Linked DNA regions of Ovis aries. The protein of the gene in region 1 purifies or fractionates together with the protein of each later gene. This does not show direct contact. Links are inferred from orthologs where the notes say so. Each region holds a gene or a part of one and is shown on either strand. Other genes may lie near its edges.

Region 1 (3,712 bases):
GGTTTGTAAGAATAAACCAAACACATTCACAGAGCATGCGTCCCAGGTAGTGTTTTACGTTTATACACACCAAGCCCTGGTTTGTATCAACAGGACACACACATACACATATAAAACAAAGAAAAGCACCTTTGTATTAAAATTGGGAGTCCTCCCAGAATTCTTAGTCATACATGATGCATGCTTGAATGAAACATCGACAGAGAATTTCCAAACAGAAAGATTCTTGGCTAGTGATTAAACAGTGGCATCCATAACTCAAGCTTGTGGTGTTTTAATTACTTTAACACATACATTCCCTAGTTAGCCAGCCAGACTTGGTTATTCTAAATGGCTGAATGAGTCTGCAACATGTCACAACTATCTGTATCACATATAACCAATAGCTAAGATTTTTAAAAACCTCTTGTCCCACAGAACCACACTTTCTTGCTGCAAGATGCCCAGATCTTACCTTTCTTTTCACACATGCCGCACCTCTGTCATGCATTTCACATAGTATAATGTGCACTATGGAAGTCACAGGAAAGAACAGGAAAGAAAAAAAACACCTCAGTAATAACATTTTATTATAAAACTGTGCTTTATTATAAGGAAATTTTAAATATAACCAACAATACTGAAAATAATGTAACTGGCATTTACAGCCTTGGTCAGAGTTCTTTATTAAACAGGCATTTGTAGTTAACAATTAGCTTATGCAACAAAATAGGTAACTTGAAAAAGTGAAGGAAGTTGAAAATACAGAATGATAAACCAAGAATTTGTGGTTCTTTGTGTTTTTTTTCTTGTTTGGTAGACATGACTTTTAAAATCTGAAATATTATAGAAAACAAGTCTGCACGCAGTAAGCTCTCTTCCCGTGGGAAAGTTTGCAAAGTAGTTAAAACTGTCCTAAAATGTGGCTGAAGGTATATTTTACATACTTCTTATATATACATTATCCAATTCACGTATCTTTACCACATTTTCATTATACAAGCAAGACCAGAAACATTCTCTAATAAGACCAAACTAGCCACAGAATTTTTTTACCCATGTATATATTTCTTTGAAACATATTTCCCAAAATGAAACCACTGATTTAAAAGGGAACAACTGGTTAGAATTAATGTCTCTAGACACTGGGGTCACATAGTCCTAGAACTCATGTAAGAGTATACTGCTTTGGTGGAATATAATTCATTCATTCTATGTAGCAGAATAAGCATTATCAATTATCAACAAAAATCTATTCAGCTGAGTTCATTCTGCATTTGCAGAATGAAGTGAATGCAATTGAGAGTCTATATTAAAGCAAGTAGAGGGGCCTAATGGAATACTTGGAATGGGCAGAAATTCCTTTTATTCTTATATATGTTTTACTTACAAGAATTTATTTCTCCCACTTTGGAGGAAACCCATGGGAGCAGATGTCTGCAAGGATTTTATTACACATGTCTAGTGAAGAACAAAGAAATATCTATGGGCATGTTGATAAGGACCCCAAATATTTTTGGTATAGGATACTTTTTTTTTAGCATTTATAATAAGATCTTAGGCGTTTAGAAGACAACAATTAAGTTTAAAGAGCATTTAAAAATATTTGTGACATTAAATGTCAAACAAATTTTTAAAGATAACAAATACAGAGAACTGCAAAAATGGAAAAAGGAAGCATAGATAGATGCTTTATGAGGAAAATAATGACCTTTCATCTAAAGACGCTTTCCTGTTGTTGTAATGACTAAACTGCCTGTCCTTAAAACCACTAGAATATGTAGGCTACTGACATTATACCCAAGAAATCAAAAGGTACTTTATTGCAAAAATATAAAAGATTTTAAAATTGCATAAGATGTTTTATACCATTTCACCAATAGGCCAAGGCCAGCACATAACTTATCAAGCCAGAAAAACTTTAAAACAAAAATGGTTAAATTGTACTTACTATATATAGTGAGTTGTAAAAAGAATGTGATGCCATGCTGTATAGCATGATTCACTGCCAAGTTCCCTTTTACATGGGTGTAGTCATAACATATCAATCTGAGTAAGTCAAAATGAATACACATTGCCTATGATAACATCCTTTAATTATCTTCTTAAACAGATACTTTCAATATATTACAATCATCTGAATCTTCAGTCAAATCATAATTTTGTGGAGTAGAAAGTCATTTTATCAGTATGTTGATTTTTTTGGATCTACTCTTTTTAGAAAGTGACTTTAAAGCCTATTGACTATTAAATATCTATTCTGTTTACTGATACATTGTAAATGTAAAAAAAGGAAAAAACCTGAAATCACAGAAAATGCTTGGCATCTACACAAACACATTCTCAGTGGACTAACCACTACTGTGTAATTTTGTCACTAGAGGTCTTGCTCCAATACTTTTGCTTCATGCAGTGGGTTCAACAATATCCATGTTCGTTCCAAACAGGGCGACTAATTGCTCTTCATAGGTAGCGATGTTCCTTTTCATGATTTCCATGCAGGGTCCCAAAAGCCTTTCAAACGCTTGCACATCCATGGCTAAGAAGAGTGGAGAATAAAAGAAAAATAACATTCTTTACAAATCTGGAATTTCTCAGTCACTTATGGTACCTATTTCACATATGTCAGTGATGCAATGGCATTTTTGCATAAATAACAGATACAAGAAAAAGGCATAAAGATAAAAACATTCCACTTCAAAAAGGAAGCAGCCAGTGGCCCGTGGCCATATGACATTGTATTGGAAGTTCCTGATCCAGGTTAAAAGAATGAGGGATTGTTATGGCAAGACCTTAGAATTTAAAAAAAAAAACAAATACATTTTTATGTCACCACTTTAGCAGTATGAACTCAGGGGTGCAAGGTAGTGTTTTCTATCTTGTTTTCCCTCCTCAGGACTTACAATGCAATGTTGTGAAGACCAAATGTTACCTTTTATAATTTTTTATACTAGGGTCTAGTCAATTCAAAATGGTAGCCCAAGTAATGATTTTGTCCGCGTCTGTTAAGTATATGCTCCATGTTGCTTAGATTGCTTGTCTCGAGCATTTTTAAAAACTGAATTTATATGAAAATATGATCATGCTATCATTAAGTTAAAATTCTTTTTTTTTTTTTTTGCTTCTTAAATTTACAGAACTAAAAAAGGCAGTGTTTACAACAGAGTGAATGGAAATTCTTGCACTGCTGGCAGCATGTAAATAAGTGCAAATACAAGTGATCTGGCAATAGGTATCAAAAACCATAAACAGAAAACCCACTTCCAAAAAGCGTTTCTCAGGAAAAATCCTAGTATTTTTCCTGAGTAGTATATGCATACACCCCCACAGAAAAGCTCTCCCCCACAGTGCAAAGGAGCCAAAACTCAAAAATTATGTGACAGTATCAGAAGTGAGTAAATAATTCAGCATGTATTTAACCAATGTTAATATCTGATGTAATAAACATGAGAAAATGCCTAAGCTATAATGAATGAAAGAAGCAGTTTACAAAACTGATTTAAAACTGAAAACATATAAATAAAAAAGGATGATAAGAAATTATAATAGGATGTGGAAATTGCTGGGTGGTGGTGGTACTGGGTAACTCTTAGTTTTTCCTACCTTTCTGTATTTCTCAAATTTAATGTGACTATACATTTTATTGGAGAAGGAAATGGCAACCCACTCCAGTATTCTTGCCTGGAGAATCCCATGGACGGAGGAGCTTGGTGGGCTATAGTCTACGGGTCGC
Region 2 (3,657 bases), about 40 Mb from region 1:
TAAAATGTGAACTCACCGAGAACAACAGATTTCATGAAGAACCATGGCTTGTGCTGAGTCTTTAATAATAACCAGGACCTCACCAGGGAGGAAAGAGGGGCATATTAAGTAGATACGACAGCAAGTGTAAAGGTACAAGGCTTGAGTGAGTGTGTTACCTTTAAGGAGTTACAGACATGCTTATTACGACTAACCGTAAAGGCTGCTTTCATTATACAGACGACAGACCTAGATGTAGGTAGTGAAGAGCAATGAAAGGCTTAAGGCTGGAGCATGCCATAAACAAAATTTATGTGTGACAAAGAATCCTTCGACAGTACTCTGCAAAGTAAAGTATATTAGAAAAGAAAGATTGTGTCGCCAAGCTGTGACATCAGGAAGTTATTGCCCATGGTCTAGGTGAGGAATGCGGAAGGCCTGAATGCAGGCAATGACCGAAGGCACAGGGACAGACATTTAGGAGCCAGAAGGAACAGGCCCTAGCGACTGCTTGGGTGTGCGCGTAAGAGCAAAGGAAACTGATCTGTGCTGACTTTCAACTCTATCCCGGGTGATACCATGACCAGAAATGCGGGATTAGGACCGGAAGGAGGAAAGGAAGACGATGCTCAGTCTGGTCTGTGCCTGTGAGGTTCCTAAAGAGGTCACCACGGGGTATGTTTCCCTAAGGAAAGGTGTTGCGTAAATAACTGAAAATATAAACCTGGAACACAGGACAAAGGTCTTGACTAGAACCACAGTCCACAAGAAGATAAGCTACACAAGGGCAAGATCCTTATCAGATTTGTTCATCGTAGCCTCAGAACCCAATATAGTACCTGGCACGTACTAGGTGCCCAATATAAGTATTTGTTCAATAATTAAGTCTACTGAGAATTCAGGCTTTGGGAATGAATGAGCTTTCACATTAAGAGGACAACAATGGACGAGCATAGGAAGAAGAGGAACTCTTAAAGGTGAATGATGAAAGAAATGGAAGAAATGAGAGAATATTAACACAAAAGGTAAGGAAAGAGGGTATTTCAAATGGAAGAGGTCAAAAGTATCAAATGCTACAAAGAAGCCAAGAACTACAGGGACTGAACAGATTCACCGCGTGAGTCAACCGAGTGCACTGGCAGCATCCCAAGCGTGGTCTCACCGCGCGCTGCAGATAAAGGCAGCCTACTGCTGCGAGGAACTTCAGAATGTAAGTAAGAGGCCACCACAATTTCTCAATAATGGTAATACTGCTTCCCCTCAAACTTTCACTGTCTTCTGTTGGGGTAAGGCAAACATTACTAATATTTTAAATAAATGAAGCGATAAAAACTCTTAAAAAATGCAGTGTCAGTATCAAACGATCCGTGTAATTTCCATCATAGCTTCGCTCTCGATACTTTAAAAAGTGTTTTTAAAAAGTCTTACCTCTTCTCCTGGCTGGTCAGTTAATTTTTGTAGTTGTAAAATAATTCTATCAATATTTTCCTGAACCCAAACAAAATCTTCATCATCTGCTGTTTCAAACTGTAGTCTTCAAAAAAGAAAAAAAGGGCAAAAAGTCAAAACATATCAACTCAAGGAGCTGTGTTCCTAACACAAACATTGCCGGTCAGGTGACACTACTTCACCTCTTTTTTCTCTTTTACTAAGTTTCTCTTTGCCTGAGTCAGGGTGCTATGAGAATTATTTTCAGGTATATGAGTTCTGTTAAAGATCACCTTCTAGTGTAAACATGCATTAACTTTAAAATTTTCACTAGCTTCTAGTGAGGGACAGACTCTGCCCAGCTTGCCTAAGAATGCCATTTCCAAAAGCTAGCCAGAAAATTCTAACCTATTGGAGGCTTTCTGGGCTAGATGCTGTAGTTTTGACGCCACACACTGAAGTTTTTGTCTGATTATTTCCAATTCATGATTATAGCCAGTTCCTCCTCCATTCATTTCAATCATTTTAGGATAGCTTGATTCCTTTGTCTCTCCCATTTTCTGCTGAAGAACCCAATTTCTGGTTCGATCATTGGTTAAACTCCATGTGGTTGGCTAGAAATTTTGGACAGAAAAAGAAAAATGAAAATTGTACCACAAATAGCACATCACATTCTTTCTTAAGGGAACATAATTACTGTTTATATTCCAAATAGACTTCTATAGATTTATAAATGATTGTACATCATTTAATCCAGTATCAAAATTATATGATCACAGGACTACAATATTCTTCTAAAAGATATTTTAAAACAAAATGTCAATTTACCTCATTAAGATTCTGATACAGAATTCTTCTACTTTCTCGTGTTTCTTCTCGGTCTCGTTCTTGCTTCTGGAATTCCTGCATAATCCCTTGCAGTCGTTTTCCTTCCAGGTCTAGCTTATAAACTTGCTGCCTTTTCTCTTCCAGTTGGCGCTGAAGGTCTTCCACCTTGGCCTGAAGCTCGTGCATTTTCTTCTGTCCCTCTGTGTTGGCCTCCTGTTCTGTCTGCAGCGTCTTTCTGTGAACCTGCCTATCCTTTTCCATTTGCTGTCTTGTTTGCAAGGAATCCAGTTTGTATTTCTCAGTCTCACTTAACAGTTCCACGATACGACTGTGTTTCTCCTCTAGCTGCTTTTGAAGCTCCTTAAGGAGGTCCTCGGAGGGTAAGCATGGCCGGGGCTGCCCACCGTCATCGCTGCTCTGCAGCTGTGCACGCAATTCCCGCTCCCGATCCAGGGTACTACTCATTTCCCGAATCCGAACTTTCTCGGATTCAAGAAGCACCTGAAGCTCTAAGCTGCGGCCTCGTTCTTCGGCTAGCTGGGCATCGTGTAGCGCCCTTTGTGATTCTATCTCCTGCTGCGATTCATTCAGTTGTTGTCTCTGTTGTTCCAAAAGTTGACTCAGTTGGATATTTCTTTGTTTCTGACCCTCAAGTGAAAACTTCAGATCCTTGTAGGAGAAAGGTGAATTTGAGAATTTGTTCATGTTAATATTAGTAAAAATACCTCATAAGTATACAATTGTGCCCTTATGCTTTTATTAATACTAAGTTGGTAGTATTTGGTAAAAGAACTGACGACCATTTTGCTAACTTTTATCTTCAGTAGTTAGAATGTTAAATTATTTGGGCAGCCAGTTGATGTTCATCAAACAATATCAACAAAAGAGAGTTAAGCTAAATAACACTTTTTCTCCCAACATTAATCATATCTGGTTAAGGAATATGCAGCAGATTAATAATCTTAAAAGTATTTATCATATAATGTGATGGGAGTTCCTGAAACTCCTTGAATTTTTCCATGCATTACCACATAACTAAAAATAACTGGGCTTATGGAGAAGGCCGGGGGACAAACTACTCAAATGCTATAAACATCTATGATGATAAAAATACTGATAACTGAAGAAATAAAAGTCCTTGCTAGGCAGAAAGCTCACAATGCCTGGTGGCTACCATGGTGGACCCTAGGAAAAAAAACAAAAACAAAAACAAATGTAGCAGGGCAGAAATTCTGGCTAGGCTTTCCAGGTGGCGCCAGGGGTACGGATCTGCCCGCCAATGCAGAAAACACAAGAGACATGGGTCTGAATCTTGGGTCAGAAGACCCCTGGAGTAGGAAATGGCAACCCACTCCCGTATTCTTCCCAGGGAAATCGCACGGACAGAGGAGCCTGGCAGGCTACTGCGGATGGGCTCGCGAA

The links. The genes of interacting proteins can lie anywhere in the genome.
Region 2: the proteins of PRKAR2B (region 1) and AKAP9 purify together in Homo sapiens (affinity purification with mass spectrometry; 3 studies listed by BioGRID and IntAct, counting the BioPlex papers as one, with this or other methods). This does not show direct contact. The link is inferred for Ovis aries from reciprocal best matches to the Homo sapiens genes PRKAR2B and AKAP9.

What each region holds. Positions count from the first base shown.
Region 1 is NC_056057.1:49,772,744-49,776,455, reverse strand, and holds the end of PRKAR2B (cAMP-dependent protein kinase type II-beta regulatory subunit), read right to left. Parts: intron 2,519-3,712; coding exon 2,385-2,518; 3' UTR 565-2,384; downstream 1-564. UniProt on the Homo sapiens protein: Regulatory subunit of the cAMP-dependent protein kinases involved in cAMP signaling in cells. Type II regulatory chains mediate membrane association by binding to anchoring proteins, including the MAP2 kinase.
Region 2 is NC_056057.1:10,189,728-10,193,384, reverse strand, and holds part of AKAP9 (A-kinase anchor protein 9), read right to left. Parts: intron 2,905-3,657; coding exon 2,236-2,904; intron 2,022-2,235; coding exon 1,816-2,021; intron 1,514-1,815; coding exon 1,408-1,513; intron 1-1,407. UniProt on the Homo sapiens protein: Scaffolding protein that assembles several protein kinases and phosphatases on the centrosome and Golgi apparatus. Required to maintain the integrity of the Golgi apparatus. Required for microtubule nucleation at the cis-side of the Golgi apparatus.